Tamandua tetradactyla: one gene and its partner. The protein of the gene in region 2 binds, or shares a complex with, the protein of the main gene of each other region. Links are inferred from orthologs where the notes say so. Each region holds a gene or a part of one and is shown on either strand. Other genes may lie near its edges. The genes, in order: KCNJ8 and ABCC9.

Region 1 (15,144 bases), about 190 kb from region 2:
ATACAAATGACAGGTTTTAATAAAATGTTCAGCACAGTATTTCATGTGGGGACTCTTAAGAAGTGAAAAGCTGAAGGAAGCAATTGTCATTGTTGGGAATCCAGTCCCAATTGAGACAGGAATGCTCTTACCTTTTCTCCAAACCCTCTTTGAGCTCCAAAGACTCCTTGCCTAGTTCTGCCCAAAAGGCTGCCATGAGCAGGACCAGGAAACCTTTGGGACGTCATGATGGAGGACCAGGGGAACAAACAGGATACCCTTAGAAGCAGTGAGAGCTAAGTGTTTTTGCCTCCTGCTTCTTACCAGGGAAGTACTGACAGGGGCAGTATCCTGGAGAAAGGAGATGGCAGCACACTGGTTGATAGACAAAAGGTGTAAATAACACAATTTCTTCCCCTTCCTATTCCATTTGTGTTTCCAAAGTGAACATAAGAAACAGTGAGATCTGTGGTTTTACCAACTAAGCATTTAAAACAGAATCACTCCTTAGCCAACTTGTTCTATTCAAGGTCTATTACTATTAATGTAATTCTTGTGCTTCAAATGGAAAGATATGTTTCTTCTACATAACTTAAGCATATCCAGCAAATATTGTATATATAAAACAAGTGTGAACATGATTCCTCCACCTTATGTGTTATTGTTCATTGATACAGAAAGTGCTATTGTCTGAGTATGAATTTCATTTAGTGCATTAAAATGAAGACACATTATTATGTTCCAGCTCTGGGTCTTTCTGAGAGTACCCAACATGAAGCTTCAAAACTTAATAAAAGACTCTCTTGGGGTTGTCTTGCTGTCATGATTCCGATGTGTTCTGATTTCCTTCTGGAGTCATAAATTGTACCTTTGGCACAATGAGAGAAGAGTTGTTTCTTCGGATAGAGTTGTTCCTCCTCATGGAATTGTTCCTTCTCATGGAATTGCGCTTCCTCAGTGAATTCTGATGGGACAGTTCACTCTTCTGGAGGGTCTGAATAAGGATGGAAGGCTTCTCGTCCAGCTCTCGGGCACTGCACCGTGGAGCAGCTACTTTGACAGTGTTGCCAAATTTGGAGTAATCCACAGAATATACTCCTTCCTCCTCGGTCACAATAGACACAAATCGGTGGCCCCACTGGATCTCTTCGGCAATATAGGATGTTCTTGCTTGTGTGGTAATGCCAGTAGTTTCAACCACGCCTTCCAGAATAACTATGACCTCCAGGTCTTGGTTGACAATGTCAGTTGCTGAGATATCATACAGGGGGCTGCGCTTGTCAATCACATGGCAGATGATCAAAGGGGCCACCAGGAAAATGTTATTGCTCTCGATTGGGTTATCAACAGGAATGTCCAGCTGGTGAATAGGCACCACCTCTCCTTCTGGGGTCGTTGTTTTCTTGACAACCTGGATACGTACCGAGGCGCTGATGATCATGCTTTTCCTCAGGTCACCTACTCGGAACATGAAGCACAGCTTGCCATTTCGGACAGCTATCACAGCATGGCGACTGAAAATCAAAGTCTCTGCCCTTCTGTGAGCCTGGGCTGTTTTCATGAAAATGCAGCCCAACATGACTGCATTGATGATTAAGCCCACAATGTTCTGGAGAATCAGAACTGTGATGGCCAGAGGGCATTCCTCTGTCATCATCCTCCCTCCAAATCCAATGGTCACTTGAACCTCAATGGAGAAGAGAAAAGCAGAGGTGAAAGACCTGTAAGGAATGATATTAGAAAACAATGCCATCAGATCAGATTTTGAATACCAAAATAGCATGCCTAGATGAATGCTTCATTTTCTTCCCTTCAAGGCTATCCAATGCTTTTAGAAATACAAGCCAACCTAACCTGCCAAATGTCAAATTCTAAGCACAAGCACTTTCATTCTCCCTGTATGTGCACTATCTCTAGACTACAAGGGTTTAATTCTGTTAGTGTTTTCTAGGTCAGTAAATGATGGGTCTACTCATATGAAAGTACTAATACAATAAACTAATATACATCTTCCTGGTAGAAAATTTCACAAAGTGAAAGTAAATCCTGTCTGTTTTTTGAAGAATAGAAACCTAATGACATTTGCAGCATAAGCTTGAAAAATTATTTTTAATCTAAATAAAAATCCATAACACAGAGACTTTTCCAAAGAGCACTTACTCTTGTATATTTATGTTTAAGTGACTTGAGTCCTATTGAAGGCACTGAGTAATGAGTGAACTTTTCACTGTTATAGCTGTTCAAATCATGTTCATTAGCTAAACCTTATTGTGTAGCTTATATAGTCAATGCACTGCAGTATAAAGTGGTACAACACACATCGTTCAAAAATACTAGTATTTTTAATAATAAAATTTTGCATCTGAAAAAAAGTGTTTTCTTGTAGATTGTCTCATTTTGTCCTAAGTGATCTAGATAATACGGAAGCTGATAAAGGAAGAATTTCAGACAGAGATTAGTAAACAACAATGACAATTATATGACAAAATCATATAATTAATAAGAACACAAATCCTCCAAATTCTAGCCTAGTACTCTGAAAGAGGCAAAGGGAAGGGGCCAAAAGTTGTCAGGTTTTCTAGGGAAGCTCCAAGGATTGACAATGATTTGGTGGGCTCGGGGTGAGAAAGGGAATCAGAATTCTGTAATTCTGTAATTCACTTTCTGGTTGAGAAGTAGCGCATTTGGTTATTATTATCATTCATTCATTCACTTACTACATCCCTGATACTGCTGCAGTGTCTTAACAGAAATACTATTAGCCCTGTCTTCCTCCCCACACCCCTAATTTCAAACTTCTCTAATTTTACCAAAGAAAAGCCAGGCATAGCTCATCTGCCAAAAATGTCATCAAAAGAGAGTGCGTGTGTGTATATATATAAATATATATATATATTATATATATATATAAGTATATATATAAAAAATATATATATATTTTCATGCCACATACAATGAGTGAGCAAATTTTAAAAATCTGAGTTCTTAATATATGCCAGGCACTTTTGCTGGGACATGATGAGGGGGTAAGCAAGCATGAACAGGTGACGCTTCTGATAACCTTCTAAACAGAGCCTGAAAATTGCCCTTTTCCTCTTTTGTGGCTACAAGGATTCATGGAAAACCACATTAACTATTCTTACACTAGCTACACAAAACAAGATATCTCATATGACCCTGAATCTTGGCAAAGAATAGGAATGGATCCCAAAGGAGGGTCATGGACACAACACTGATGTCTAATAATAAATCCATACTTCAGGGAACAGCATAATGATGAATATACCCAAATGTTTTGCTTTAATGGCTTGAGAACATTCATGTGCCATATTTCAAACATTTTTATTGTATAAAAGAATTCAATTCTAACCATTATATGGTTCAAGACCAGTCTTTTATGAACACCTGTCAGACTAAACTACCACAACTGATAAAAATGTTTGGTTGTTTTTTTGTTTGTTAAAGAATCATAAGGAGAAAGGGGAAATATGCTGGTTTCTTTTCAGATGCATATTAGAAAGTAATCTACATGAAAGGGAAAGTAAGCCACCCTAAAATGAGAATGGTAAAACATTATTTAGAAACACTGGTGAATAACCACTGAAAAAACTGTTTCTGATTCTGACAATGCAACAGGACACTGAACTTAAGAAAGGAAAGGGAATGCTAATAATTAGAATCATTATTAGTCATATTTTAAATTCCCTTTGGAAGAGGATAGTGATTTTTTTATTTCTATATTTATGGTAGAATTTTTTTTATTATGTGAGGCTTGTTATGATTAAACTCTATATTGAAATTAAAGTATAAATGATACCATAGCATGAAAATAAAATCACTGGGACTAGAACAACCTTTAAAGATGTCAAATAAGTTTTCTTAGGAAGTGCAGTTTGAAACACTAAAATTGTTATACTGATAAGATCAGCTTCATATTTTGGGGACCATTTCTCAGTTGATATTATATCCACACTAGCAGGGACACATCAAGGGAATGAACATGCTTCGGACAATACCTTACATGAAAAACAAGCGCTAGCAGTAAAATGGCTTTTAATAGATAATGGAACATCTAAATTTCTTTTTGAAAAATCAGTGAAAGGATATCACTTTTTATGATGTATTTTTAATACATTGCTTAATGACTTCATTTTCATAGAAAAAGGCAATATATTTGTCTTCTGCATAAAATCTGTCATTTGTTTTCAAGGACTATCATTTTAGTTCTTTTAATTTCTTTATGAGTACCTACTGCATATTTATTGAGAACTTCTCTTAATATGAATGTGACTTTAATATCAGGGCCAATAAATTTCTTAAAGAGAAATATTATTAAAAGTAGCTTTGACCTTGAAATAACTGCTACACACAGTGTTTCTTTTCCTTTATATCGAGTGCTTTGATGATCACTCACATTTGTCAGCCACATTGTTCTTTGAGAAAAGATTATGTTAAAAATAAGAGTATCTACTCAGTGGCAAAGGCAATGGATCAATTCGATACAGTTTACTTTCCTCAAAATTTGAACTGATAAATGTGGTGTGCTGTCTCTGCATACAAATGCTACATTCCTGATATGCTTGTATTACAGTTACTTAGGAACTAGAAGGATGGACAAGTTCACAGCATGGCTTTCTGCTTTTTGCAGTGGCATGCTAATTTCACAAGATTCCAGGGTCAAGAAAGGTCTCATTCTTTACAGTTACCTAGTAGTATGGGGCTTAAGTTTCTTAGCTTTGTGCACTATGTGAATTTGGAATGCTATTCAGAAAATGTTCTGGAAAAATTTCCATTATTATTGCATTGTTTTGCTTCAGAGTAAATGTTTCTCTGAATGTTATGTTATCTCTTTCTATCTTCCCACAAAATAAATACAAGTCACCCCAACTAAATATTTTTCTGCCCTCCAAAAATATGAAAAGAGAATCACTGAAAATATTCACTTTACTGGTCTTAGAAATACTTATGAATAAAAAGAAACAAAAGTTAGGCAATCTGCAACTGTCTTGTTCTTGTTCAATCAAGACTGAAAGAAGACTGCAGCATTAAGTCTCTTCTATATAATCTCTCCTATGAAAATTTCCATTAAAAATGAACTGTTTTACAGCTCTGAATCTGAGCGCAACTTTTAATTCAGTGCAGGCAATGAGCTATGTTCAGACAGTCTTAATAAAGGAAGGTTTATATTTACTTCAGTTATTGAATATTTAATGGATTTTTAATTGACCCCTCCTGAACAGTGCCTCTACATTTTTTCATTATTTCTGAAAATATTAAGGGTAAGATAGGTCATGGGAAAATATTAGCAGCATTTGTGTAATATTTTTTAATGATCAGAGATATTTATTTGTGGACACTGGAACTATGGACAGCAGCTGTTCTTACTGAAAACTTAAATGCGTGTTTTTTTTTTTTTTTTTTGAGGAAGACATTCTGTGGAATCCTCTCCAACCACAATTTTAATAACTGCTATGATATTTTAAAGTCTAGTCCAAGGGATTGAAGCTCCACATTTTCAGAGACTCATCATCCATAAAGCTGCATTTACAAAGATTTTTAATATCTAAACTTAGTGGGGTTTTTTTGTGGTTTGCATGCTTGTTTTTGTCTTTGAAGGTTCAAAGCAAAGCGTTCGCAAACTGGAGTGATGGGAAAAAGGGCAGGTTAATATTTTTTTTCCCATACTCCTTTCAATCTTCGCCTCATCCCACTGCATCCTTACCTGACATTAGTCACACACACGGTAGACTCCAAACCACTTTTCTCCATTCCACTTTTCTCCATGTAAGCATAGATGTCCCCATGGGCAAAGGCTACCAGCCACCACATGATGGCGAAGAGCAGCCAGCTGCAGAGGAAGGACATGGTAAAGATGACCAGCGTGTGGCGCCATTTCAGGTCCACCAACGTGGTGAAGATGTCCTGGAGGAAGCGTCCTTGCTCGCGGATGTTCTTGTGCGCCAGGTTGCAGGCCCCACTCTTGGCGATGAAGCGGGCTTTAGGGAGTCGGTCTCGGATGCGAGGCTTGCGCAGGTTCTCCGCGGCGATGCGCGCCAGCACATACTCCTCCGGGATGATGCTTTTTCTGGCCAACATCGTCCTGTCACCATAGCCAGCTTACCCACCGACCTCTGACCTGCCTCTCCTTCCTCCGAGACCCGTCCTCCTGCACGAAGTAAACGATCATTAAAAATATATATAAAAAACAAAAAACATTTCCTCACCTCTCCAGTCCTTGATTTAAGGGGCATGTAGGCATGCAAAGTGGCAAGCATGATTTTTATTCAGCTCAACACGAATCCAGCTTTTGCTTAAGTTCTGGGATCCCAGAGAAATTATTTGGTCCGAATCAGGAGAATTGTTTCCATTTTTCTTATTCTGAACACATATATGGACATAGCCTTAGTGAAACACCAGCAGGAGCCTTCACGTAAACAGCAAGTTCAAAAATAGTTCTCTAAGATCAACTGCGGCTGTAGATCAGTGTGAGGCTACAAACACGCAGCGTCAATGAGGGAAATTAAGGCCAGCTGAGTATCACGATCTATTAAGCTATTTAGATGATACAGCAATAGTAAAAATAAAGAGGGAAATTTCTTCCTCTTATTTTTAGAAGTAGGCAAAGAAAAGGCCTTGCTCTCTTGAGCTGTTTCGTGTAATCTGATAAAAATAAGCACTCTATCTAATTTGAAGAATTATTTTAAATTTGAAGGAAGTATGAGTTGCATTTTTAAGAAAAAAGCGAAAGAGTTCCTCATGGAACTCATAATACTGTAAGTGGAAAATTTTATAATGAAGGGCTCAGACACAAACTGAAGGAAATCCTGAGCAGTAACCTGTGGGCACCAAATAGAGTCAAAGGAGAGTGTCCCGAAGAGTCCACGGGACCCTGCAGATCTTTGCTGTGTTTTGCAATTTAAGTCATTTGCTGGGACGTGGACAGCTCGCCCTCCCCTCTCCGGGTGTTGCGTTGAAACTTACAGGCTCCGGGCAGCGGGCGCCTCGGCTGGACCTTCCCGCACACGCCGGCGGACCGCGGGTGGGTCCCTCGCTCTCCCATTCCGCGTGCGGAGCTGGGGCCGCGGATGCCGAACGCTGGAGGGACTGATCCAGGGGCCGAGTGGCCTAAACAGAAGACTTAAAATAAGAAAAGGTACAATTGAATCTAAACGCGGGGACGGCTGGGGGAAGGGGGACGGTGTTGCTCTTCCCCCTCCCCCTGCTCAACCCAACTCCCTAGGCAGATGCCGCGGGCGGAGGAGGGGCTGGGGGGAGGGGAGTTTGGGGATGCTGCTCCACAAATCAACCTCCCTGTTAGGTTTTGACGCGCGCCAGACCTCTGCGCGCCGCGGCGGAGGTTGGAGCCGGGTGGTGGGGGAGGATGGGGGCGCGAAGTCGCGTTCTAAGGAGCTAGGGAGGCGGCCGGAGGGAGGGGAGACCCCCGGGGGGGGGGCGGGACCTGTAGAGCCAGCTCTTTTCCCAGTAGCGGCGACCCCCTGCTGCCAGAGTGACACAAACGTCTTTAAAAGGCTCGCTGCTCAGGGAGAGAACCCTCTGAGTCCAAGTTCACTGACGTAAAGAAAATTTATTTCATTATTATTATTTTTTTTAGTAACCCGAATAGATAACTGGGTTTCAGAATTTTTTTTTTTTCAGATGGAATAAAACCAGATACCGTAAGATTTTCTTCCCAGGCGTGCAAGCTGTATTCATTCACACACATTTATTTATATTACATTTTCGTCTATTGGTGATAACACAGGTGGATAATGTTCTGCAACCCACGAGAGTATGCTATTTCTTCACCACTCAAAGCTAGTTGTCGTGCATTAAACACACAACAACAACGGTACAAAATCCTGTAGTCTTTTCCCGTGAAGAAAGTGTACTCCAAACAGGGACACTGTCAACACTTCAGCCCTCAAACGGCCGCTCCTCTGCAATCGATTGCTTTCTGAAATGTTGCAGCTTCTCTGTCTTGTTTAGATAGTCTGAATGATAAGCAGAGCAGTTAATGCACAAGGAAGGTTATACAGTAAATATCTTTCTATAGCTTTTTGAAAAGGAGCCAGCAAAGACAAATGTGCTTTCTCCCTCAGATCAAGCCTTGTGATTTTGGCACTTGAGTTAATGGAAACTTTAATTCTTGGAAATTTCATGTATTTTCCAAGACTCGGGACTGAAAGTGTATGGAGAATAAACAATGTGTTCATTTAATTAACGAAAGACCTAGTATTAGCCGTGAAGGAAAACAGACACTTTTTTTTCCTCTCTTGTGGATAGAAATGCTTTGTCCCTTGAAGTCTGGGGGTCCTAGTCTGTCAGTGACAGCTCTCTTCTCTGCTGTTCTTAACTTGTGCAGTAATTTATGTAGTAGTTTGGCCATAAATATGAGAGGATCAATTTGTATCATCATTCCCCTAGTACTTTTTTGCAATTGTATTTGGTATGCTATTTATTATCTATTATTTTAGCTCAGACAGCATTCGTTGGATGCCTGTTAGGGAAAGTTTTTTTTTAAGGTTTATATCTAGAGATTTATTAGTACTTAAATTATAGATGCTACCCGTAAGAGACAGACAGGTATAGGAAAACAGCTAAGATGTAATAAATTCTAATACAAGTAAGTGAGTGATAAAAATGAGAAAGGAGATACAACTAAAGTGCTGTGGGAATTTGAATGAGCATATTAGGAGACTTAGGAAAGCTTCATGGATTGTTTGGTATCTGGTCTAGTTTTTGAAAGACAGGATGTATTTGGGGCATACTGAAATGCAGAGAGAAGACATTCCACAGAGAAGGCGAAGCATGGACAAAGTCATGGAGTGCTGACAAGAACAGGCTGTGTTTTATTAATAGAAAGTAATTCATTCGGCAGTGATGAAGCAGAGTCAGTGAGATAACGGGATCTGCCCTGATTCCAAGGCCTCTGTCAGACCTTTCAACACCTAATGGATTGTTCATGTACTTGACTCTTTTCTCCACACAATTGAAGGCTGCTGGAGGGCAGGATAGTGACTTGTTCATCTTTGCAAACTAAATTTTTAGCACATTTCAGATTACAGATGTGCTTAAAATTTTTTTGAATCAATGAATGGAAAAGATAAGGTTGAAATAGTATGTTGGTATCTTAAAAAAATGCACAGACAGCCTTAAATGCTCAACAAAGGAGCCTGGACTGTCTTCTGTAGGTGTGGTAAGCCATGGAAAGATTTTGATCAGATAACAATACAATAAGAGACTGTTTTAGGAAGAATGATCAGGAAGCAAAAAGTAGAATGGGTTTATGGGTTGAATTTCTTCCTGGAGTCTCTTTGGGTTTTGAATTTCTGTGATTGCAGGAGGGGACACTGGAAACTATTATATTAGTTAGAGAGGGAATGAGGTTCAGGGCTGATAATGACAGTGGGCAATATATAAATATATACAAAAGGAATGTTCAGAGTCTACATTGGAAGAGGGATAAGTCAGAGGTGACTAAGATATTTATGGTGCTGACAGAAAAAATAGGAAAATCAGACCAAGGAGGGTGAACTGCTGAGAAGAAATTATGAGAGATTTCACATGAAAATTTTGTTCTTTTGCTATACTACAAAAATTACTCTTTTTCTAAAGAGATATGTTCTTCCAAACATGCAGTGTTAAGTCGAATTTTGTCTTGTTTTCAAATGACAAGCTATGACATATTAAAAAAATTATTAGAGAAGTTTTAAGTTTACAGAAGAGTCATACATAAATTATACTTTCTATATATGGGCCCCTCCCCACTAACACAGTTTTCCCTATTATTAAAACTGCATTAGTGTGGTACCTTTCTTACAATTATTTTTTTGCTTTTTCTTTTTTGGGGGCGGGGGGCGGTGCACGGTCTGGGAATTGATCCCAGGTCTTCCGCGCGGAAGTCAGGCATTCTAACCACTAAACTATCCAGGTACCTTCTTTCTTACAATTGATAAAACAATATTACTATAATTATACTATTAACTATGGTTTACATTAGGGAATGCTGTGTTATAGAGTCCTATAGTTTGTTGTTTTTAAATTTTTATTTTAACATAATATGCAACCTAAAATTTCCCTCTTAACCACATTCAAAATTATAATTCAATGGTGTAAATTACATTCCAACTGTTGTGCTACTATCACCACTATCCATTACCAAAACTCTTCCATTACCCCAAATGAAATTCTATGCCAATTAGGCATTAGCTCCCCATGGGGAGTGAGATCATAAAATATTTCACACAGCATGATTTCTTTGAGGTCCATCAGTGTTGCTACAGTCTCAGAACTTCATTCCTTTTTACGACTGAATAATATACCATCGTATATAAACACCACATTTGTCTATCTATTCATTTGTTGATGGGAATTTGGGTTGCTTCCATCTTTTGGCAATTATGCATATCCCCCCTATGAAGAACAGCGTACAAGTATGTGTTCAAGTCCCTACTTTCAATTCTATTGGGTATATACCTAAAAATGGAATTTCTGGGTTATAAAGTAATTCTGTACTATCTGGGAACCCATCAAACTGTTTTCCACAGTGGCTGCACCACTTTACATTCCCACCCACAGTGAATGAGTGTCCCTATTTTTTTTACAACTCGTCCAACATTTATAATTTTTTTTTTGTTTTTCAATATTTGTCATTCCACTGTGTGCAAAATGGTATTATAGTTTTGATTTGCATTTCTCTAATAGCTGATGATGTTAAACATCTTTTTTATGTCTTTACTGGCAATTTGTATATCTTCTTTGGGAAAATGTTTATTCAAGTCTTTTGCCCATTTATTTAGTTGGGTAGTTTGTTTTTCATTGTTGTTGAGTTGTAGAATTTCTTTATATATTGTGGATATTAAACACCTATCAGATACGCAGTTTCCAAGTCTTTTCTCTTGTTCTGTAGGTAGTCTTTTCACTTTGATGATGAAGTCCTTTGATGCAAAAAGGTTTTAATTTTTGATGGTGATGTACAATTCATTTATCTTTTTGTTGTTGTAGCTTATGCTTTTTGGTGTAAAGTCTGAGCAACCATTGCTAAACAGAAGATCCTGAAAATGCTTCTCTGTTTTTTTCCTAGGAGTATCATAGTCCTGATTTTTGTATTTTGGTCCTTGACTTTTTACAATATTTTTTTATTGTGAAATATAACATGTATACAGAAAGATAAATACATTTCCAAGTACATTTCAGCAAGTAGTTATGGAACAGATTTTAAAATTTGGTATGGGTTATATTTTCATGACTTTTAATTTTTTATTCAGCTGTACCAAGACACTGGAGACCAACAGAAATATCTATATAATATCAGCAGTCATATTCATTTGCTAAACCCTGTCTTCTCTGTTATACTCCTCCTCTTTAAAATTCCCATATGATGCTACCTGGCCCTGGGCTTTTCTTTGTAGGAAGATTTTTGAGGACTGATGGAATCTCTTTACTTGTGATTGGTTTGTTGAAATCTTATATTTCTTCCTGAGTCAGTGCAGCTTGTGTGTGTGTCTGCGGGGATTTGTCCATTTCATCTAAGTTGTCTAGTTTGTTGGTATATAGTTCTTCATAGTATCTTCTTATGATTTCTTTTATTTCTTCAGGTTCTGTGGTGACACACCCCTTCTCATTTCTGATTTTGTTTGCATCCTCTCTCTCTTTTTTTTTTCTCAGTTTTGCTAGTGGACCATCAATTTTATTGACTTTCTCAAAGAACCAATTTTTTGTTTTATTGATTCTTTCTATTATTCTTTTGTTCTCCCATTCATTTATCTCTGCTTTAATCTTTGTTTTTTCTCTTCTTCTATATACTTTTGAGTTCATTTGCTGTTCTTTCTCGAGTTCCTCTAGGTGTGTTGTTAAGTCCTCGACTTTTGCTCTTTCTTGTTTTTTAAGATAGGCATTTAGGGCAATAAATTTCCCTCTTAGCACAGCTTTTGCCACATCCCATTGGTTCTGATAAGTTGTATTCTCATTTTCATTCATCTCCAGATAGCTACTGATTTCTCTAGCAATTTCTTCTTTGACCCACTGCTTGTTTAATAGTGTGTTATTTCATTTCCATGTATTTGTGAATGTTCTTGTTCTTTGGTGGTTATTGAGATCCAGCTTCATCCCATTGTGATCAGAGAAAGTGCTTTGAGTAATTTCAATGTTCTTAAATTTATAAAGATCTTTTTTGTGCCCCAGCATATGATCTATCCTGGAGAATGTTCCATGAGTGTTAGAGAAGAATGTATATCCTTGTGCTTTGGGGTGCAATGACCTATATATGTCTGTTAGGTCTAATTCATTTATCAAGTTATTAAACTTCTCTATTTCCTTGTTGATCTTCTGTCTGGTTGTTCTGTCTATAGAGGAGAGTGGTGTATTGATGTCTCCTACTATTATTGTTGAAACATTTATCGTTCCCTTCAGTTTTATCAATGACTGTCCCATGTACTTTGGAGCTCCTTGATTGGGAGCATAGACATTTATGATTATTATATCTTCTTTGTGAATTGACCCTTTAATTAGAGTATAGTGTCCTTCTTTGTCTTTTATGATGTTTTTACATTTAAAGTCTATCTTGTCTGATAATTAGTATAGCCACTTCTACTTTCTTTTGGTTACAACTTGCATGGAAAATCTTTTTCCATCCTTTCACTTTCAATCTATTTGTATCCTTGTATCTAAGATGAATATCTTTTAAGCAGCATATAGTTGGATTATGTTTCTTAATCCATTCTGCCAATCTGTATCTTTTAATTGGTAAATTTAGTCCATTAACATTCAAAGTTATTACTGAAAAGGTGTTTCTTGAATCTATCACCTTATCTTTTTTATTTTATTTGTCAGATCTGTATATTCTTTTCCCTCTTTCTCTTTGTATTCTTTAAATTACCCTTAATGATACTCTTCAATTCTGTGTCCTCCTCCAGACCTCCCTCTCCTGTCTCTTTTTTTCAGCTGGTAGAACTCCTTTTAGTATTTCTTGTAGGGCCCATCTCTTGTTGACAAATTCCTTCAGGACTTTGTCTGTGAAAACTTTAATCTCTCCCTCAGTTTTGAAGGACAGTTTGGCTGGGTGCAGAATTCTTGGCTGGAAGTCTTTCTCTTTCAAGACCTTGAATATATCATACCACTGCCTTCTTGCCTGCAGGGAGCTAGCTGAGTAGTCTGAACTCAGTCTTATTTGGTTTTCCTTGTATGTAGTAGGTTGTTTTTCTCTTGACACTTTCAGAATTTTCTGCTTCTCTTCAACATTTGACAGACTGATTAGTATGTGTCTTGGGGAATGCCTATTTGGATTTATTCTGTATGGAGTTTGTTGGGCTTCTTTGACTAGTATATTTATGTCCTTTATGAGGTTTGGGAAGTTTTCCCCCATTATACCCTCAGCTACTCTTCCTAGCCCTTTATTCCTCTCTTCTCCTTCTGGGACAGCAATGATTCTTATATTTGTATGCTTTGTTTTGTCTATCATTTTCTTAAGATCTGATTCAATTTTTTCTATCGTTTTTTGCCATTTGCTGTTTTGAGTCTTCAAAGTCAGTTATCCTGTCCTCTGTATCACTTATTTTTTCTTTTGTCCCTTCAAATCTGGTGTTGTGTACCTCTAGCATGTTTTTTATTCGGTCAACAGAGTCTTTAATCTCTGTGATATCTGCCATTTTTCTGTTTATTCTTTCAAATTCCTATTTATGCTCTTCTGCTGTCTTCTTGATCTCCTTTCTGTCATTTGCTATCCCACTTATTTTATTAAGTAGAGTTGTATGAACATCTTTGATTAGTTGTTCCAATGTCTGTGTCTCCTCTGGTAGTTCAATATGGTCATTAGGCAGGCCTGTATCTGTCTGTGTTGTGATATGCTTGGTGATCTTCTGCTGTCTTTGTGGCATGTAAATATCTTGATAGATTTACTTTGGGAGTTGATTTCTTTCAGTTGTCTAAGGCCTTGTGTTTGCAGAATGGATGTACTGCAGGGAGCAGGGTATGGGGTGGGGCACTCAGTGCTGTGATTTGTTTCAGGGCAGGTATAGGTGCAGGTTGGGGATGTTACACTGATGCTTGTGAATGTGGGTGCCCAGCAGCCAGGGAGGATGTAGCTGTGTGGGTGCACCAGTTGGGGATGTAAACCTGGTGTGCGCTGGTCTAAAGCATAGGGCTCTTTGTGCACATGCATTGAGCTGTGGGAGCAGGTCCGTCTTATATCTTTGTGGATTGGGGGCAGATGTGACTTGGTTATGCAGGTCACACTTTCTCAGAGCTGGGAAGCATGGCTGAGGGCTGTGTGTTTGCGCAGTTCTAGGACTGCTGAAAATTGAGGTTGCTGGAGCTGAATGACATGACTGGGGGCCCGTGAGCATGTGTGGGTCTAGGAGTGCCTTAAGCTAAGCACAGAGCTCATGGAGGGTAGGGTGAGGCTGTGCCACACTATGGGCAGGGGACAAGGGTAGCCTGGGTTAGTGCCTGCAGCCTTTATGTGCTGGCAACAGCCTGCAGGGAGCAGGGAAGGGTAGGTAGTGCTTGAAGGGGTGCAAGAGAGATGGGTTGGGTTCACTTGGGATGGGGGTGTGGGGCAGGTATGTGCACTAGGGGCTGGTGGGGTGGGGGTGCCTGGAGTGCAGGAAATAGGAGTGGGTGACGGGATTTAAGCATGTGGGGTATACGGTGAGCCACTGGTCACGCGGCTGCACTGGTGAGGTTAGCACGCCCAAGGAATGCAGCCTGGCTTACTTTCTAGTCCCAGACTCCTGTCTGTGCACTTCCGCAGGCTCTGCACCTCTGCACCTCCATGCCAGGCTCCAGCTTTCTGCCTCTCAGTTCCTCGGCATCTGCAACTAGGGCTGCCTTGTGTGATGCAGAAGGCTCTCCCAGGTCAGCTACACTCCCAAATCACCCCCCTAGTCACCCTCCTATCCTTTCTCTAGCTTTTCCATGGACCCTTGATACATATTGAGTTAATTTTTGAATATGGTATGAGGTAGGTTTCTACATTCATTCTTTCACATAAGAATAGCCAGTTTTCCCAGCACCAGTTATTGAAGAGTTTATTCTTTCCCCATTGAGTGAACTTAGCACCCTTGTCAAAAATCAATTGGCCATAAATAGGAGGGTTTATTTCTGAACTTGGTTTGACTCTATTGATCTCTATGCCTGTCCTTCTGTCACTACCATGCTGTTTTGATT
Region 2 (15,201 bases):
ACCCTCCCCACGTTCGGATCCCCGGGCCGGCTGGGAGATTCGGATTGGCACTCTTCCAAGCTGCTTCGGCTGGCGAACCTCCCCCATGGCGAGAGTTTTCCAAAGTTAAAGGACCCACAGCACCTTTTACTGGTGGGACCCGCAGACAAACAAGTGCCACGAGCGCCACCTACTGGGCAGGATAAGAAAAACAGAACCCAGAGATTTCACAAAAAATCTTTCAACCTGTTGGGTCCAACACCCAAGGAAATCTGACTAAATGCCCAGACGCCAGCAGAAGATAACGGATCATGCTCAGAAAATTGAAAATATGGCCCAGTCAAAGGAACGAACCAATAGTTCAAAGGAGATACAGGAGCTGAGACAACTAATGCTGAATATACGAATGGAAATGGAAAACCTCTTCAAAAACCAAATCGATAAATGGAGGGAGGACATAAAGAAGACATGGGCTGAACAAAAAGAAGAAATAGAAAAACTGAAAAAACAAATCACAGAACTTATGGAACTGAAGGACAAAGTAGAAAAGATGGAAAAAACAATGGATACCTACAATGATAGATTTAAAGAGACAGAAGCTACAATTAGTGATTTGGAGGATGGAACATCTGAATTCCAAAAAGAAGCAGAAACTATAGGGAAAAGAATGGAAAAATTTGAACAGGGTATCAGGGAACTCAAGGACAATATGAAGCGCACAAATATATGTGTTGTGGGTGTCCCAGAAGGAGAAGAGAAGGGAAAAGGAGGAGAAAAACTAATGGAAGAAATTATCACTGAAAATTTCCCAACTCTTATGAAAGACCTAAAATTACAGATCCAAGAAGTGCAGCGCACCCCAAAGAGATTAGACCTAAATAGGCGTCCTCCAAGACACTTACTAGTTAGAATGTCAGAGGTCAAAGAGAAAGAGAGGATCTTGAAAGCAGCAAGAGAAAAACAATCCATCACATACAAGGGAAACCCAATAAGACTATGTGTAGATTTCTCAGCAGAAACCATGGAAGCTAGAAGACAGTGGGATGCCATATCTAAATTACTAAAAGAGAAAAACTGCCAACCAAGACTCCTATATCCAGCAAAATTGTCCTTCAAAAATGAGGGAGAAATTAAAACATTCTCAGACAAAAAGTCACTGAGAGAATTTGTGACCAAGAGACCAGCTCTGCAAAAAATACTAAAGGGAGCACTAGAGTCAGATATGAAAAGACAGAAGAGAGAGGTATGGAGAAGAGTGTAGAAAGAAGGAAAATCAGAAATGATGTACATAATACAAAAGGCAAAATGGTAGAGGAAAATATTATCCAAACAGTAATAACACTAAATGTTAATGGACTGAATTCCCCAATCAAAAGACATAGACTGGCAGAATGGATTAAAAAACAGGATCCTTCTATATGCTGTCGACAGGAAACACACCTTAGACCCAAAGAGAAACATAGTTTGAAAGTGAAAGGTTGGGAGAAGATATTTCATGCAAATAACAACCAGAAAAGAGCAGGAGTAGCTATACTAATATCCAACAAATTAGACTTCAAATGTAAAACAGTCAAAAGAGACAAAGAAGAACACTATCTACTAATAAAAGGAACAATTAAACAAGAAGACATAACAATCATAAATATTTATGCACCGAACCGGAATGCCCCAAAATACGTGAGGAATACACTGCAAACACTGAAAAGGGAAATAGACACATATACCATAATAGTTGGAGACTTCAATTCACCACTCTCATCAATGGACAAAACATCGAGACAGAGGATCAATAAAGAAATAGAGAATCTGAATATTACTATAAATGAGCTAGACTTAACAGACATTTATAGGACATTACATCCCACAACAGCAGGATACACCTTTTTCTCAAGTGCTCATGGATCATTCTCAAAGATAGACCATATGCTGGGTCACAAAGCAAGTCTTAACAAATTTAAAAAGATTGAAATCATACACAACACTTTCTCGGATCATAAAGGAATGAAGTTGGAAATCAATAATAGGCAGAGTGCCAGAAAATTCACAAATACATGGAGGCTCAACAACACACTCTTAAACAACGAGTGGGTCAAAGAAGAAATTGCAAGAGAAATTAGTAAATACCTCGAGGTGAATGAAAATGAAAACACAACATATCAAAACTTATGGGACGCAGCAAAGGCAGTGCTAAGAGGGAAATTTATTGCCCTAAATGCCTATATCAGAAAAGAAGAAAAGGCAAAAATTCAGGAATTAACTGTCCACTTGGAAGAACTGGAGAAAGAACTGTAAACTAATCCCAAAGCAAGCAAAAGGAAAGAAATAACAAAGATTAGAGCAGAAATAAATGAAATTGAAAACAATAGAGAAAATCAATAAGACCAGAAGTTAGTTCTATGAGAAAATCAATAAGATTGATGGGCCCTTATCAAGATTGACAAAAAGAAGAAGAGAGAGGATGTAAATAAATAAGATCAGAAATGGAAGAGGAGACATAACTACTGACCTCACAGAAATAAAGGAGGTAATAACAGGATACTATGAACAACTTTACGCTAATAAATACAACAATTTAGATGAAATGGACGGGTTCCTGGAAATAAAGAACAACCAACTTTGACCCAAGAAGAAATAGATGACCTCAACAAACCAATCACAAGTAAAGAAATTGAATTAGTCATTCAAAAGCTTCCTAAAAAGAAAAGTCCAGGACCAGACGGCTTCACATGTGAATTCTATCAAACATTCCAGAAAGAATTAGTACCAACTCTCCTCAAACTCTTCAAAAAAATCGAAGCGGAGGGAAAACTACCTAATTCATTCCATGAAGCCAACACCACCCTCATACCAAAACCAGGCAAAGATATTACAAAAAAAGAAAACTACAGACCAATCTCTCTAATGAATATAGATGCAAAAATCCTCAATAAAATTCTAGCAAATCATATCCAACAACACATTAAAAGAATTATACATCATGACCAAGTAGGATTCATCCCAGGTATGCAAGGATGGTTCAACATAAGAAAATCAATTAATGTAATACACCATATCAACACATCAAAGCAGAAAAATCACATGATCATCTCAATTAATGCAGAGAAGGCATTTGACAAGATTCAACATCCTTTCCTGTTGAAAACACTTCAAAAGATAGGAATACAAGGGAACTTCCTTAAAATGATAGAGGGAATATATGAAAAACCCACAGCTAATATCATCCTCAATGGGGAAAAATTGAAAACTTTCCCCCTAAGATCAGGAACAAGACAAGGATGTCCATTATCACCACTATTATTCAACATTGTGTTGGAGGTTCTAGCCAGAACAATTAGACAAGAAAAAGAAATACAAGGCATCAGAATTGGAAAGGAAGAAGTAAAACTATCACTGTTTGCACACAATTTGATACTATACATCGAAAACCCGGAAAAATCCACAACAAAACTACTAAAGCTAATAAATGAGTACAGCAAAGTAGCAGGTTACAAGATAAACATTCAAAAATCTGTAGCATTTCTATACACTAGTAATGAACAAGCTGAGGGGGAAATCAAGAAACGAATCCCATTTACAATTGCAACTAAAAGAATAAAATACCTAGGAATAAATTTAACTAAAGAGACAAAAAACCTATATAAAGAAAACTACAAAAAACTATTAAAAGAAATCACAAAAGACCTAAATAGATGGAAGGGCATACTGTGTTCATGGATTGGAAGACTAAATATAGTTAAGATGTCAATCCTACCTAAATTGATTTACAGATTCAATGCAATACCAATCAAAATCCCAACAACTTATTTTTCAGAAATAGAAAAACCAATAAGCAAATTTATCTGGAAGGGCAGGGTGCCCCGAATTGCTAAAAACATCTTGAGGGGAAAAAATGAAGCTGGAGGTCTCGCGCTGCCAGGCTTTAAAGCATATTATGAAGCCACAGTGGTCAAAACAGCATGGTATTGGCATAAAGATAGCTATATCAACCAATGGAATCGAATAGAGTGCTCAGATATAGACCCTCTCATCTATGGACATTTGATCTTTGATAAGGCAGCCAAACCAATTCACCTGGGACAGAACAGTCTCTTCAATAAATGGTGCCTAGAGAACTGGATATCCATATGCAAAAAATGAAAGAAGACCCATCTCTCACACCCTATACAAAAGTTAACTCAAAATGGATCAAAGATCTAAACATTAGGTCTAAGACCATAAAACAGCTAGAGGAAAATGTAGGGAGATATCTTATGAAACTTACAATTGGAGGCGGTTTTATGGACCTTAAACCTAAAGCAAGAGCACTGAAGAAGGAAATAAATAAATGGGAACTCCTCAAAATTAAACACTTTTGTGCATCAAAGAACTTCATCAAGAAAGTAGAAAGACAGCCTACACAATGGGAATCAATATTTGGAAACGACATATCAGATAAAGGTCTAGTATCCAGAATTTATAATGAGATTGTTCAACTCAACAACAAAAAGACAGCCAACCCGATTACAAAATGGGAAAAAGACTTGAATAGACACCTCTCAGAGGAGGAAATACAAATGGCCAAAAGGCACATGAAGAGATGCTCAATGTCCCTGGCCATTAGAGAAATGCAAATCAAAACCACAATGAGGGCGGGCCGCGGTGGCTCAGTGGGCAAAGTGCTTGCCTGCTATGCCGGAGGACCTCGGTTCGATTCCCGGCCCCAGCCCATGTAACAAATACGGAGAAACAGAATACAATAAAAACAAGAAAATGTTTAAAGATGTTTCCCTTTCTTCCTTCTATCCTTCCTTCCTTCTCTCTGTCTTTCCTTTAAAAAAAAAAAAAAAAAAAAAAAAAAAAAAAACCACAATGAGATATCTTCTCACACCCACCAGAATGGCCATTATCAACAAAACAGAAAATGACAAGTGCTGGAGAGGATGCGGAGAAAGAGGCACACTTATCCACTGTTGGTGGGAATGTCAAAGGGTGCAACCACTGTGGAAGGCAGTTTGGCGGTTCCTCAAAAAGCTGAATATAGAATTGCCATACGACCCAGCAATACCATTGCTAGGTATCTACTCAAAGGACTTAAGGGCAAAGACACAAACGGGCATTTGCACACCAATGTTTATAGCAGCGTTATTTACAATTGCAAAGAGATGGAAACAGCCAAAATGTCCATCAACAGACGAGTGGCTAAACAAACTGTGGTATATACATACGATGGAATATTATGCAGCTTTAAGACAGAATAAACTTATGAAGCATGTAATAACATGGATGGACCTAGAGAACATTATGCTGAGTGAGTCTAGCCAAAAACTAAAGGACAAATACTGTATGGTCCCACTTTTGTGAACCGACATTCGAGAATAAACTTGGAATATGTCATTGGTAACAGAGTCCAGCAGGAGTTAGAAACAGGGTAAGATAATGGGTAATTGGAGCTGAAGGGATACAGACTGTGCAACAGGACTAGATACAAAAACTCAAAAATGGACAGCACAATAATACCTAATTGTAAAGTAATCATGTTAAAACACTGAATGAAGCTGCATCTGAGCTATAGGTTTTGTTTTTGTCTGTTTGTTTGTTTGTTTTTTCTTTTTCCTTTTTTTACTATTATTATTTTTATTTTTTTCTCTATATTAACTTTCTATATCTTTTTCTGTTGTTTTGCTAGTTCTTTTCCTAAATCGATGCAAATGTACTAAGAAATGATGATCATGCATCTATGTGATGATGTTAAGAATTACTGATTGCATATGTAGAATGGAATGATTTCTAAATGTTGTGTTAATTTCTTTTTTCTTTAATTAATAAAATAATAATAATAAAATATAAATAAGATGTTAAGTATTTGAAAGTAGGCAAATGTACCACGATTTGCAGATAAAATCATATTTTCTAGAAAGTCAAGCTAACATAGGTGAAACAATATTGCAATTATTGAGAAAATTGTAAAGAGGCTAGATATAAGATAAATATATAATCTGTTAGAAAATATAGTATGAACAGATACTACATTCTTAGCAGGCCAATATATGAAAAGAAACTACAAAATTCACAAGAAATTGTAGAGAATTATAGAGACTCTTATGAATTTAATAACGGATTAAAAAAAAGACTTGAATAAATGTGAAGCCGTGTTTCTGGATGGAAAGAGAGGAAACACTAAATGTGACATGGCTTCATAAATTATTTCCTAGATTTAATGAAAAGCCAATAAAATCCCCCCAAAGAATAAAAGCTAAGAAAAATTTAAAAAGAGTAAAGAGACTATCACTCCCAGGATTAAAATGTACTTTAAAGCTACAATAATCAAATTGGACTGATCAAAGCAATAGAATAGAAAAAAATGGAAAAACAGATCAATTGAATAGAAGAGACATTCCAGAAACAAATTTTACTATAAAATAATTAAGTGCATATGATAAAGTTGGTGTTACACATCAAAGCAAAAAATGATTACTCATTCAGTGGTGTTGATGTAATGAATGGATAACTATATATTCTCATTTCATGGCATATGCCACAATATGTTCCTGAATCAAAATTTTAAAACACCCTTAAACAAATAAAAATGAATGTTAACATTTATGAAATGAAAGCTTTGGGATACATTGTGAAGGTAAAAAGCAACATCGCTGCTTGCATAAACCTTCCCTTAGAAGACAAGTGCCCCAAGGGCAGAGACACTGGGAGAGCTGATTTCATCACTGATTTCTGTGTCTGGTATGAGACCTAGCACATGATACATGCTCTAATAAATGTTGACAGAATTATGAAAACAGTTGTTATTTTAAGAAGGGCAGCATCACTCTCATTTTTAAATTGCAAGTTGGGAAAATATTTGTCAAATATATGATACAGGTTTAATATGCTTCTCTTATTAAAAGTTCACACAAATGATAAGAAACTTCATTAAGATCCATTAGATGGACAAGTCTGTGAAAAAGCCATTGACTATGGAAGAAATACAAAGACTAATAAACGTTTGAAAAAACACAGTGTCAAAAACAAAGAAATGCATGTTATTTGTCAAATTAAGAATTTTGTTTGCTTTTAAAATAATATCTACAATTGATTTGGGTGTAAATGTAGTAATAGGTCATCTCATACTGTTCAGGGGAGTGAATATAAACTTTCTAGAGAAGTAATTTTGCATTCTGTATTGGTAACCTTAAAAAATATTTACCCCTTTTGTCCCTGTAATTACTTTTTAGAGGATGTACCTTAAAGAAAAAATCTACCACACTGAAAAAAAACAAACAAAACCATCACAGGATTTCATCTGATAGTGAACACAGGGCAACTCCATGTCCAACAAAAAGGAAATTGGTTTAAAATTACGGAATATCTACACAAAATGATATTATGCAGACACTTAAATTATTTCTGTGAGGATTTAAAAATGCCATTGGAAAATAAGTGTTTTAAATGATGTTGTGAGGAGACACTTATGCTGTAATTGCCAATATAAAATATGCATATCAAAACAGAATATCAATAATTAATACTCAGCCATTACTCGAGGAGCACACACTCTCTCAGTACTTTACAGATATTACCTCATTTGTCCTCTCACCAACCCTAAGAAACACCTTTATTTGTCATTTTATTGCACTGGACACATGAGGAAACTGACAGTCCAAAGATTGAGTGGAGTAGCAGAATGTAATAGTATGCATGCTAGCTCGGTTCATGTGCCTAATCACTGCAGTATATAGCACCTAAATTTGTTAAAATATAACCAAATATTTCCAGTAGTTGTATTAGTTTGCTGGCTTCTAAAACAATTGCCATACAGTGGGTGGTTTTTTATTGGCTCTCTGCTTCAGAGGTTAGAAGGCTTGCCTCCTCCCCAGGTGGGTATCTTTTTTACCGATAGATTCACACGTCAGGACCAGGGGTTGGGACCTAAACAAGTCTCTTGTGGGAGACTTGATTCAATCTCCAACAGTAGTTATGCTTTTCCATTTTTTTTACAAAGCTTCTACATTAAATGTAACTTTTTATCCTTACAAACGACCTTACTAAGAGTAATATTAAAAAAAAACAAATCTCCAAGTCAACTTCTTTTGTGTAGTCACATTTCTATGTAATGATTCTTTGCACCACCCCGTTGTCCCGCCCCGGGGCCCTTGCAGAGCCTCTGATACTTCTCCATCAAGTTTTAGGGTCCCCGCGGAGCTCCTGCGTCGGGCTAACAGCTGCAGATTGCAATAGCCTAGCGCTCAAAAACCTGAGCTTTCTGGACCTTCTCGGGAGCCGACCCACGTGGCCGATCCTGGAGACCTCTTGTGGCCGCGGGCTCGCGTCCCAGTCCTCAGCCGCTGCCCGATACTCTCCCGGGAACTTAGTAACCTTCCCGAGAGTGGGGCGCGCCCGCGGGGAAATCCCCTCAGGGACTGCAGGACCGGAGCCTGCCCGCTGTTCACAAGGACCGCGAGGCCGAGATGCCCGTTTCGCCCCTCCAGTAGCAGACCCCGCGATCCACCAACGTTTAGGTTTCAGGGCGCGGGACCAGCATTGGCTGCTCACCGTCCTGGAGCGGTGCTGCCTGGAGGTCACACTCGGAGCCCGGCTGCACCAGTCCGCCTGACTGACCATCCTTTCTTAGTTTAGGACGATTGCTGAAAGCAGTAATGATTTCAAGCTGACTCAGAACTGGCCACTGAGAATTTTGAGTGTAAATTAAATAAGGCTGGCGAGGCCCAAAATTAGGGTTTGAGAACTGGGAGTGGGGAGGGGACTTAGGGTAGGTTAAGTGGATTTTAAATACGTTATCTCCTGGAGAGTTAACTATCTCTTTGGCCTGGAGCGGAGTAAGGGGGTGGGGGTGGGTTACTATTTATGCTGCTCTTGGAAACCACCAAAGTTTGGGTAAGTGTCGCCCTTCAGTAGCGCGGCGACTAGTGCGCAGGAGTAGCCAAGTTTTCCGGGTCGCTGGCAGGGGCAAGCTTAGGATTCAGGCTGTGTTGATCATGTGAAACAAACAGAGAAACCCTTGCAACGAGTTTCTCTGCTTAACAGTGAGTCCTTCATTTCCCCGGTCCGGTCAGGGCAAAAACATAGTGACCGGCCCCCTCCGCCCCCCATCCACTTCATTATGTGGCTAATAAAAGGATGCACGTAGAGCAGGGGGGAAAAATACGAATGAGTACCTTGCGTGTTTTGACGTTGAAAACCCCTCTTCGTAGACTCACTTAGTTATATATTGCAAGATTAAAACTTCTGATGAAGTTTGGGGGATGCCTATTATTTGGGTTTGCGGCTGTAGCTGGACCGAGTGGGGTGGGGAGGGTCTTCAGTCCAAGGCGTTGCGCACGGGGCTTCTGCCCAGTTTCCTGCTTCGGAGTCGCAGTGTCCGCCCCGGCCCGAGAGCAGTTTATGCAATTTAGAAACTCGATAGGAGGCAGCAGCTGATCTCCCACCACCCTAAAAATAATCCAACCCGGCGCACTGCGTGTTACGGCTAGGGAAGGAAAACTTTGCCGTCGGAGTAAGTGAGTCCATGTCTTTTGCATAAATATCATTAAAAAAATTTAAGACTAACTGTAAACGGTAGATTTTTATTTAACATTTCGGTAACCAAAAGACGCACGCGCACTGTGTGCGCTTTGCCTTAAGCGATCGCTATTTCTAGGACGAAGGGAACCGTCCGGAGAAGAGAGGGGGTGGGGATCGGGTTTCCAGCTCTATTTACAAAACTGTGCCGGTACCTAGGTAGACCAACTGGAAACAATGCAAGGTGTTACTACTAAATTTTTTTCTCTCGGGTATTTCTTGAACTGCTCATGAAATAGCTTTCTATCTGCTTAATTTTTGGTTACGCTTTGCTTTTTTAAGAGTCCTGCGCCCGGGTTGGAAATTTACGTCTTAAGACAGTGTAGGAAGCCGGTCTTTTGAAAGTAGCGCAAGTGCACGCGTAGGGGGTTGAAGCAGCATCAAGCGATTGCCCAAGGTATTTATTTTTTGCTTTATTTGCTCAGTTTGGGACTTAAAAAAATCCCATTGAAATGACTGTCCTAGGAGTCCTGATTGCTGAGTAGTTCCATTTTCTTTGGTGAGCGAAGGAACTTCACATCCACTGAAGAATAAATGTGTGAATTCAGATCAGGCACTGAATCAGAAGTCAGTGGTCATTTTGCTAAGTATTTTCTAACTTGGATCTGACATAGCGATGGAGGGTGATTAGATAGCTAGATAGGGACAGATATAGAGATAGATGAAAAGTAGACAAATCTTCTAGTTTATGTTTTATGAACCGCCAACTGATTTTTTTCCAAAGAAGATTTTAAAGCATAAACTTTTTTTAATTGTTTTTTTATTTTTTTTTGCAAGTGATCTCCATCCTGAAAATGTCCTAGATAACGATAAAGCTCTTAAGGAAATTCCTTGAAATGCCCTGGGTTCTCTCTCATAACATACATTTGTTTAGTCACTGAATAAATAAATAATGAATTGTTTCACGTTAGAATGAAATCTTTTCTGTTGCTTTTGACATGTTTTTCAGGTGTTTCCAAGCATTTTAAGTTTTCTGCTGTTTCTCTTCCATTAAATTGACAGTTTCTGTTGGACGAACAGAAAACAGTGCTAGTTTTCACTTATTTTACTTATAGTCTACTTCCAAAAGAGAGGACTGGCAAAAATTGCTGAAGGAGAGGCCGGTACCTGATATACATTGACACTTTTGCCAAATTTTTACAATTCTCTATTTAGGCCTCTGTCTGTGCTCGGCTGAACCGGACAGATCCAGAAGGGGCGTGTCTGAAGGATGTCAGGTGACTGAGCTTAGCCAACAGGAACAGCGCTTTATTCCCTTCCGGAAGCCTTCCTGACTTGATGGTGTGTTTTGGAAAGGAAACACTGGCTGACCTTTGGAAATCTAGGAATTAGTTAGAAACTCAGGTTGAATAAAATGCCTTTGGTAAACACTAATAATTATCAACATGTCTGTATTGCTTACTCCTCTTTATTTATTTATTTATTTATTTGGTCTATATTGGAACGTATGTGGGCTGGCTGGTAAGATGTTCCACATACATACTGAATGCTGCAGAAGGGAGGGTCGGGGAGAAGAGGGTGTAGGAAGAGAAAACAGAAGGAAAAATGTGGTGAGAGGTGGTGGGTGAGTTTGGAGCTAGAAGGAAGTGTGAGGCTACAGATGTTGAGAAGGAAGATGTCATTCTAAGACTTATGTCATGAATTTGCAGCAAATACTGTAGTGTTATTACATCATTGCATATTTCTCCATCTTTTGGATCATGTAACTTTATATGATCCCAAGAACTACTTGTAAATGGTATGTTCTTATTTATACAGTCTAAGAGCACAGGAACTTACTGTCTTGTGCACTTTCGGATTCCCAGTGCCTAGCACATGGTCCGCATCCAATAAGTGTTTTAATGTTAATTAATTAAATGGCCTAGAATCCCTGACAGCTGGTACGGGGGTGAAAATAGTCTTAAACGTTTTCAGGTGGTTGTACTTTTCTGACGCTTTCTCTCCACAGCTACAGGACACTTATCCAAAGGGTTACTTAATTGATAGGTTTTAGGATTGATTTAAGTATTAGGCAGGTGGCTGCACAGGTGGTTCAGTGGTAGAATGGTCACCTTCCTTGCAGTGAGACCTGGGTTCAATTCCCTGACCATACGCCCACAAAAGAAAAAAAAATTAATAGGCAGGCAATATTAGCTAACAGAGGATCAAATTTAGGTTAATCATTGACATCCGGTTGGATAAGTATTACATATCAAGGTTTACAAATGTGGCCAACTGGAATATTATAATTTTGGGTACAATTATAAAAATTGGTAAAGTAAAAATTATTTTCTGGTTCATGCTAGGAAGCACTTTATACTTGTGTCTAAATATAAGAGTGGGCTTATGTTTTCTTTTGTGTTACTACTAAATAAAGGAAATAGTCTAAAAACTTTTACTAGTAATTTTTTTCATTTTCATTTTATTTTTCATTTTTTATTTTCAGTTTGCACCTGTCTGAATTTAAGAATGGGCTTAAATTTTCCTTTGTTTTTACTAAATAAAGGAAACAGTAAAATTTTTCATTAGTAATTATTTTTGCTTTCAATTTTCCATCTTTACCAGAAATACATCTAACATGCAAATCATATGAGCTTGGAACTATAACTTCCATTTTATTATTTTAAAAACCTCAAGTCCATTCTAATGCTTTTATCCAGTTTATACTCTTTAATAATTCATAAGGATTTACCAAACGTAAACTTTATCCTGAGTTTTAAAAAAATGTAATTGTTTTAAAAAATTAGAAATGGCCTCAACTGGAAAGCATATAATTGATTTATCAATAAAAGGATTTATTGAAATAATGTGTGAAAGGGATTCAGTTTAAACATTTATGGACTGTAAATATTGAGGCTTGTGAACTATTTCTCTTCATAAAATGCTTTATAAAACCTTCTCTTGAAATTTAACTTCTCCAATAGTTTGCCTACTATTGCTAATCTTTTCTCTGTAATACTTTTTGTTTTTTTCCCTAGGACAAATATTGTTCGTGGCTATTGCTAAACTCTAACTGAAATTTCACGGTAGTATTTTGATGGAGCAGATACTTGCTCCTCTATCATCTGTTTCAGCACATCCATGAGAGGGATCCATTTGAAATGTAAGTCAGAGCATGCCATTCTTCTGCCCTACATCCTCAGTGCCTTTCCAATTCACCCAGTATAAAAGCCAGAATCCCAGCCCTGGTCTACAGAGCTCTGCAAGATTTTGTCCTCTCTTAACTCTAAATCATCTACTTAATTGGAAAATGAATGCCGATTTCCAATGATCAGACATCCTTCCTTTCAAAATTTTTACAGCATGCATTTTATGTAAGAATGGGACCTGAATACTTTCATTTAACTGGTCAGTTAAATACAGTTCTATTTAATTTGTCCAGATTACTTAGTTTTAATATTCTTCAGAGAAAGGTTGTTTGCAGACACATTGGTCTCTGTGTATTACTATTTTCTGCAATTAAGGAAATTTTCAGGAAATTGTGTCCAGCCAAAGTTATTTGTTAATGCATTTTCAATGAATAGACCTGGAAAAGGATTTGACATAACATTTTGACTTTTCAATCATTAGCTTCACTTTTCTCCCATTTTTCTTAACAAATCACCTATTTTGTTCTTTGAAATCATTTTAATCAAATACTCCTTTGAGGTACAACTATAGAAGATATTCACTATTTTACATTTTACAAATCAAAAGAAAATATTTTAAAATTAGAGTATATTTCTCTTTAAAAAAAAAACAACTATAGAAAAGAGGACTTTGTCATGCATTTATCTAGTTCTTCAACTGTAAAAATAAGGTGGATAAATGATATAACCCTCTCTATAAGGCCATAATCCTATGAAAGAGAGTTTAATTACAAGAGACTTTTTTCTTTCTCTTTTCTTTCACTTTTAGAGTAAACCATATGAGAAGAAATGAGCCTTTCATTTTGTGGTAACAACATTTCTTCATATAATATCTGTAAAGGTGTATTAGAAAACCCTTGCTTTGTGAATGCCCTCAATCTGGTCCCTCATGTTTTCCTGCTGTTTATCACTTTTCCAATATTGTTTATTGGTAAGTAATGTAATGTTGCTATGTCACATTAGTAGTGAGATTTGGTATAATGTTGACTTAATTTCTCCATCATGAAAGCTGATATGAGAGTCTATGAGAAAAGAAGAAACTTATATTTTGTGTTTTCTTATTACTTCTATTTTTAGCATATGATACTCGGTAGGTAAAATAGTGGGCATGGTCCTCTAAAGGATGCTTCCAGATAGCAGCAGCTGGTTTTTGAAAAAGATAGAGATAATATATGAGATGGATCTAAAGCATTGATTGAGTACTTGCTTTGTCCTAGGTGAAGGCAATGGCAAATGGGTGACATAGTGTGTGCTTTGCCTTCTGGGAGTAGTCCAGACAAACAGATGCATTAAAGTCAGGAGAACTTAACTGTATCACATTTTAAGCCCACATTCAAAAATGGGAACAAATTATACTAGGCATTAACCTGCTAGAACAACTAATTCTTCCTGGTGTTGGTGGGAGGAGATTGCCCAGAGAGTGACACGTTCCAGAACTTGAAGGTTACAACGTGTGCAAGTTAAAGTAGGAATGACGTGGGTATGTTTTGAAGAGAATACATTTGCAAAGAAATGGGAACCATTTTCTCTATGCTTTTACAGTTTATGCATGTACAGAATCCAGTTATTCAGAGCAGTTATGTACAATTTGTGTGGTCCTACCCCCTGAATTACCAAAATAGACCATTTAACTTTTTAAAAAGTTATAAAATATTTTCAGTATGTAAAAAATGACCACGATTAATATAATAAACATTCTTTGAACCTACCACCACTCATCCTTTGGAATGTAGCTGTAAGAACATGTGTATCTTTTTGCATATCACTTCCTGATTCTGTTGTTATTCCCACATCCTTTCTTCCCATCCTTTCATAAGTAGTAACTACTATTTATAATTTGATGATTAATATTCCCATCCATGATTTTGTTGCCCACAAAAATATATGAAATAATAAAAAGTCATCAGACTTACTTTCTTAAGAAAAATAGCATAATCAAAGAATATGCTTTAAAGAAAGATTTAAAAATGATGTGAATACTTTTATTTATTCCTTAAATAAATTCACTGAGAGCCAGCTCCATTCCTGTTATTATTTCTTACAGTGATCAAAGAATTTGTCCTATGGTGTGTGATGTCATAATAGAGCCCACCATAACTTTTCGTGCAAAGTTATTCAGGTTAAACAAATATATAAACAAATCTAAATATATTGGTACCACAGTAGCCATACGTAGAAGTACTAGTGCTATATGTAGCATTATTTGTAGGACATTACAAACGCTCTTTGGCCAAAAGTAGAACCTGCATTTTTATTGCAGTTATTACAGTTGATAATTCCTCTTTTTGTTGTCCAGTTAACTTAAAAGGAAAGACTGTGACATTCATTTTTGTATCCCTAATACCCAGCACAGTGATTTGCAACAATGGTATTTGTATAGAGTCGCATTGAAATGGATAGTGTCAAAAGAAATTATGGGGAAAAGTGCGTTCTGCTTATTTATAATATTGCATTCTTGAGTCAGTGAGGGGCCATCAATACTTAAAATCTCAAAGAAGTATCGGGTACAAGGAAAATTATAATGCTGCATAAAAGACACAGAACTTGCCTGCAAGAGTTTACA

What was found.
Region 1: the proteins of ABCC9 (region 2) and KCNJ8 are in contact, whole or in part, in a cryo-EM structure (PDB 7MIT), measured with the Rattus norvegicus proteins. The link is inferred for Tamandua tetradactyla from reciprocal best matches to the Homo sapiens genes ABCC9 and KCNJ8. Residues at the interface, in XP_038963045.1 of Rattus norvegicus: Phe5, Ile10, Tyr13, Asn14, Ile15, Val19, Asn22, Cys24, Phe25, Ala28, Leu29, Val32, Val35, Phe36, Phe39, Phe42, Pro43, Ile44, Phe46, Ile47, Gly48, Trp49, Gly50, Ser51, Lys55, Gln57, Ile58, Asn129, Phe130, Lys132; in NP_058795.3 of Rattus norvegicus: Met1, Leu2, Lys5, Ile7, Ile8, Pro9, Glu11, Tyr12, Val13, Leu14, Ala15, Arg16, Ile17, Ala19, Glu20, Asn21, Leu22, Leu45, Ala46, His47, Lys48, Asn49, Gly54, Arg55, Phe56, Leu57, Asp59, Ile60, Thr62, Thr63.

The regions. Positions count from the first base shown.
Region 1 is NC_135333.1:84,374,221-84,389,364, forward strand, and holds the start of KCNJ8 (ATP-sensitive inward rectifier potassium channel 8), read right to left. Parts: upstream 7,515-15,144; 5' UTR 7,439-7,514; intron 7,117-7,438; 5' UTR 6,961-7,116; intron 6,863-6,960; exon of another isoform or gene 6,816-6,862; intron 6,146-6,815; 5' UTR 6,076-6,145; coding exon 5,702-6,075; intron 1,701-5,701; coding exon 800-1,700; 3' UTR 1-799. UniProt on the Homo sapiens protein: Inward rectifier potassium channels are characterized by a greater tendency to allow potassium to flow into the cell rather than out of it.
Region 2 is NC_135333.1:84,561,224-84,576,424, reverse strand, and holds the start of ABCC9 (ATP-binding cassette sub-family C member 9), read left to right. Parts: upstream 1-8,770; 5' UTR 8,771-9,470; intron 9,471-9,549; exon of another isoform or gene 9,550-9,715; intron 9,716-9,813; 5' UTR 9,814-9,928; intron 9,929-10,461; exon of another isoform or gene 10,462-10,812; intron 10,813-12,488; 5' UTR 12,489-12,613; intron 12,614-13,407; 5' UTR 13,408-13,427; coding exon 13,428-13,569; intron 13,570-15,201. UniProt on the Homo sapiens protein: Subunit of ATP-sensitive potassium channels (KATP). Can form cardiac and smooth muscle-type KATP channels with KCNJ11. KCNJ11 forms the channel pore while ABCC9 is required for activation and regulation.